Linked DNA regions of Saccharomyces cerevisiae S288C. The protein of the gene in region 1 purifies or fractionates together with the protein of each later gene. This does not show direct contact. Each region holds a gene or a part of one and is shown on either strand. Other genes may lie near its edges. The genes, in order: ISD11 and ACP1.

Region 1 (2,881 bases):
TTTAACTTCAGCAGTTTTTCTCTTCATTATATTCCCGGTATATTTGGTGATCTTAATTAAAAAATGTAAAAATAAAAAGAAAGAGTGCTAAAGAATGACACAAGAAAACAGTTGGCTCTTCGTGTTGTAAACGGAAGAGAACGGCTTCCAAGTGATGACTTGATTAATATATAAGCGAATTTTTTTTTTTTTTCACTTTTACCTAAGAAGTTTATCCGATGGAATGGTCCGAAAAAAGAAGATGCAACTATTACGCACATAAAGTAGGTGTAAGATCGCCCGATACAAACAATAAATAAGCAAATACTCATTTTATTGCATACTTCGGAAACTTTATGCCTGATGTAAAAGAATCCAAGCAATTCATAGGATCTCTCATTGCATCAGCTTGTTATCATACCGTAAAGACATCTCACCTCAGAGTGGGCTTATGTTTTAGTTATAGCGTTTTATATACAAGCTATAAACTCTCCTCTTATAGTCCCATGTGGGTTGAAGAAAAGAAAAGAAAAGAAAAATCTTCTACCAAAAAAGAAATGCTATTGATATTAAGGAAGTAAATTACATGATCTAATTGAAGTCCAACCATGCAAAGTATCGGTCGAAAATTAGGAATATCATCTAATAATATCTTTTCCAAATTAAAGGCGGCCACCTCTCTATAAGATATAACCATACGAATTTCCTGACGTGAGAAGGAAAAAATTACTGGAAAGTTCTTTCTTACATGCAATGACCAGTTAGGCCAGGTTTTAGTGTTTTCTTCCTTGCAATGGTTCTACGACCAGCCTGTCAAATGTGTACATCTGAGAAATAACAGACTGTCTTTTCAAGACACCTAAGTCGTTCTTAGCTTCCTTAAATAGGTTCATTAACACTTTTGGGTCTTGCTGATTCATGTTCTTTCTGAAAGTAGTCCTTGTTTTACTTAAAAAGTATTCCCTGAAGTTGTAATTATTGAATTGATTAGCATTCTTGATGAATTCCTTGTATAAAGACAACACCTGCCTTCTTGTTGGAGCTGTAAATCCAGGCATTTCTCTTCTTTCAAAAGGTGATTCCAAGTTCCCTATACTGCAGATAAAAATGGGAATAAAACTGCTATCCAAACTTCACTTGTTACCTTAGGCTCCGTAAAGTTACTGTGTAATTATATCAATTCCTCAATCATTTTTCTCCGCCGCTTATAAATGAATGAGAATAAATAGACTGCTATTACCCGGAAAGCGGGTGTTTCTCCAATAAATGCATTGTTTAATAATAAGTGGGTAATACAATATTGTTTGGATTTGATGGAAATAGCTATTGCTTTATCTACTTTACTGTGGACATTTGGGAACTAAAAAAACCTCTTTAACCAATATATTCAGCATATATTATGTAAAAATGAATAAAAAAGGTCCTACCCGGATTCGAACCGGGGTTGTCCGGATCAAAACCGAAAGTGATAACCACTACACTATAGGACCAGTACAACTGTAAATTGTTGTATCTCAAAATGAGATACGTCAGTATGACAATACGTCATCCTAAACGTTCATAAAACACAGATGAAACAACCTTATAACAAAACGAACAACATGAGATAAAACCCGGCCTTCCCTAGCTGAACTACCCAAACGTATAAATGCCTGAACAATTAGTTTAGATCCGAGATTCCGCGCTTCCACCACTTAATATGATTCATATTTTATATAATATATAAGATAAGTAACATTCCGTGAATTAATCTGATAAACTGTTTTGACAACTGGTTACTTCCCTAAGACTGTTTATATTAGGATTGTCAAGACACTCCGGTATTACTCGAGCCCGTAATACAACATAAATTTAGCCGTAAAAAAATCAACTAACCCTACAGTAAACTAAACGTAGTACTTTGACACCGATAAACAGGTGAAATATTGAAAAATCGGCAAAAAAATACATAATTATTAGCACTTTACTGTTATTGAACATTATGATATCAGGTATACAAGATATTAGGTATACAAGGTATACCTGAGAAACTGGTGAATAATTCGATAATTGTTGGCATTCCATTGTTGGGAGAGGCTATTATATCATGTATACAGAATATAGTAGAAGTTCTCCCCAAGAATATAGGAATCCTCAAAATGAAATCGATATCTCTACATAGTGATACAACGATTATTCCTCATTCCGTTTCATATGTTTCATTATCCTATTAGATTACATTTCAACTTTCACTAGATTTTAATACTTATAACACATTTTTAAGCAGCATGTGATAATATTCAGGTAACATTAATAATACTAAGCAGATGACATTGGAATTTCGTTACAACAATACCTCTAATATTGCTTCTGCCGAAATCAAATTATGATAAGAACCAATCATCATCCATCGTCTAATATTGTAAACTAGTATACCATCATATACGGTATAAGAAGATAATATAAATTGAGAGACAGCCATCAAAAATTGATGGAAACTGAAATGTAATCTAATAGGATAATGAAAGACAAAGTATAACGGGAAGGAAGATAAAGTAACACCATCGATTCTCTTTTGTGAATTCCTATAACGTCGGGAGAATTGCTTGTATACTATGTATACCTAATGTTATAGGATTCGGCAACAATGCAATCCGAACAATTATCAAATTACTCGCCAGTTTCTCAGGTATATATATTATCCTGAATGTTCTCTCCCAGGAGTATGGACCCTTAAAAGGCAAATCAATAATCTTAATATAATGTTTTAATTGTTTTTCTTTTTCTACGTTTCTGAAAATTACGATTAATCCATTCTATTAAATTGTCAACTCTGCGTTATTCCTTCACCAAATTTGAATACGAATCAGACAATTCTAAAATTACGTCATATTTTAACAACACATATCATAATATTCCACCA
Region 2 (2,451 bases), on another chromosome or scaffold:
ATGCACCAAATATCAATATCTTCAAAGTTTGCTAGCTTGGCCACATTTGGCTTTCCGACAACAAATAAATAGTGTTTTTTCTCACGAGTTTTGATAAGCTTGACCAGCTCGTTGATAGTTTCTCTTGTATTACGTAGCGACAGCGTGTTGACCAGAATACCTATACATCCCGCTGTTCTTGCCACATGCATGTACTTGTAACGCCTCATTAGAGAGGGAAATGGCCCCGTTACCATGCCAGGTAAAGCCGGATCGAAAATATGAACAGATTGAAACACAGTAGACAAATACAGTAATCTCGGATCCTGTGGGGTGGTCAAATGGAAAAGATGATAGTCCTCGGGCGAGATGTTGTCTGCTTTGTCGTGCTGACCAAACAGCACGCTATTTTTTTCGAACACACCCACCTGGTCTACGTCTTCGGGAACGTGAAAGGTGTCAAGTATGGTTACGAATTTTTCTTCTACCGCAGAGGTGTTCACTTGGGAATATATGATATTTGTGTAGTGCAGGTCGCCCTTCAAAATATTGTACAGCTGTGACAAATGCTTAGAGAAGGGTGCGTTTGCCATCAAACAAATTTTGGAGGATAAGTCTGGGAATGCCCTCTGAAAGTTCTCCACCACCAGTGCCAAATCCAAAAATGGAGTTCCGAATGAGTAAACCACGGGCAAGTTTTGGATGGCGTTCAAACATGCGTCACCAAAATGTACCACGACTTCTGCATGTACGTGTTCAGCAGCGACCTCGTCTACACAGCATGCACTGTACGCTGTGTCAGCTAAAACCCAAAACTTTATCTTCCCATGGGGAAATTTCGATTGCAGCAGCCTTACTATCAACGAGGAGTCCTTGATTAAATCGTCAGGAAACTGCAAGGTCACGTTTTGGTACTCCGGGTGCTGTTCCAGATAACCCACGAGAGGCTCGACATTGTAATAAGCCGAGATAAGTTGCATAAGCTCATCGCTATTATAACATGGCCCCAAGTATGAAGACCTGTCAATTTCATGTGTCTCCACCTTCTGAAACGCCACGTCCGACTGAGTAGTCGATAAGGCCGGTGCAACTTCCATTTTTCAACCTTTGCACGATCTTTCAACGCTGCCACTTAGAAATCCATCACTAATCATCTTAACTCTTTTACCTTTGAACTAGTCTTTTTTCTTCTTGTTGCGATGAGCTTCTCACTGAAAAAAAAAAAAGTAAAGAAAAAAGAAGCACCAAGTACATATAAAAGGACAGATTTAACCAAATGGCATACTTAAAAAGACATTCTGAAGTCTACCATAGCATTAAAACTATCAGACTGATCCTGTAGATGTCTTATATGTATTATTCTTTTCACACATACACTCCGAAGAGACTCCATGGAGTTTTATCAGAGTCACGTGACATATATCACTGTTGACGGAATACAGATTATTTGTCAATTGCTTCTTTCTTCGCCCCTTCGAACGGGTTCTGAGTAAAAGAGAAAGGTGGTGATGACGAAGCAAAAGGAAGAATAGTCACACTTGCAGTGTAATTAGTACAAACAACACAACTAACTCAATACAGCACCTTCCTTGCCATGTTTAGATCCGTTTGCCGCATTTCTTCCCGCGTGGCACCTTCTGCGTACCGCACTATAATGGGCCGTTCCGTTATGTCCAACACCATACTCGCACAAAGATTTTATTCTGCAAACTTGAGCAAAGATCAGGTTTCTCAAAGGGTCATTGATGTTATCAAGGCGTTTGATAAGAACTCTCCCAACATTGCCAACAAGCAAATCTCCAGCGATACCCAATTTCACAAGGATTTGGGGTTGGACTCCTTGGACACTGTCGAGCTGCTCGTAGCTATTGAAGAAGAATTTGATATTGAAATCCCTGACAAAGTGGCTGATGAGTTGAGAAGTGTTGGTGAAACGGTCGATTATATCGCTTCCAATCCCGACGCAAACTAAGTGTCCGTCCCCGCTCTATTATATTGTATCGTGTCACCCCCATGTCATATTATATTCGTATGTATATAAATAGATCGATTGACCCGTATATATATATATCTATATAACCAGCCCTGTTAATACTATACTTTACTCTCTCCTCCCTTTTTCTCGTTGTTTGTTATTTTGGCCCCGAATTATTATATATTAAGGTACTGTTGAAAAATAAAACATGTATAACCTTTTGAATGAAAATAGCAAGAAGTCGGAAGAAATCTAGCACCACATAGCCATCATTATGGATAAGAATTCAGTTAACAAAGATAGTGAAGAAAAAGACGAAAGACACAAGATTGAGGTTGTAGACGATACAAATCCTGACTTCATCACTGCAGATTCGGAACTGACACAAGATCTGCCTGATGATGTAGAGGTTATTGACTTGGTCCATCTAAAAATCAAATCGTTAGAAGATTTGAACCTTTATAGGTTCAAGAATTTGAAACAATTATGTCTCAGAC

What was found.
Region 2: the proteins of ISD11 (region 1) and ACP1 purify together in Saccharomyces cerevisiae (affinity purification with mass spectrometry; 4 studies listed by BioGRID, with this or other methods). This does not show direct contact.

Annotation. Positions count from the first base shown.
Region 1 is NC_001137.3:248,874-251,754, reverse strand, and holds ISD11 (Isd11p), read right to left. Parts: upstream 1,038-2,881; coding exon 753-1,037; downstream 1-752. Other genes in the region: TPA1 (oxidative DNA demethylase), read right to left, coding at 1-27.
Region 2 is NC_001143.9:79,660-82,110, reverse strand, and holds ACP1 (acyl carrier protein), read left to right. Parts: upstream 1-1,573; coding exon 1,574-1,951; downstream 1,952-2,451. Other genes in the region: DPH2 (2-(3-amino-3-carboxypropyl)histidine synthase), read right to left, coding at 1-1,076; type 1 protein phosphatase-activating protein SDS22, read left to right, coding at 2,229-2,451. UniProt on the Saccharomyces cerevisiae protein: Carrier of the growing fatty acid chain in fatty acid biosynthesis. May be involved in the synthesis of very-long-chain fatty acids.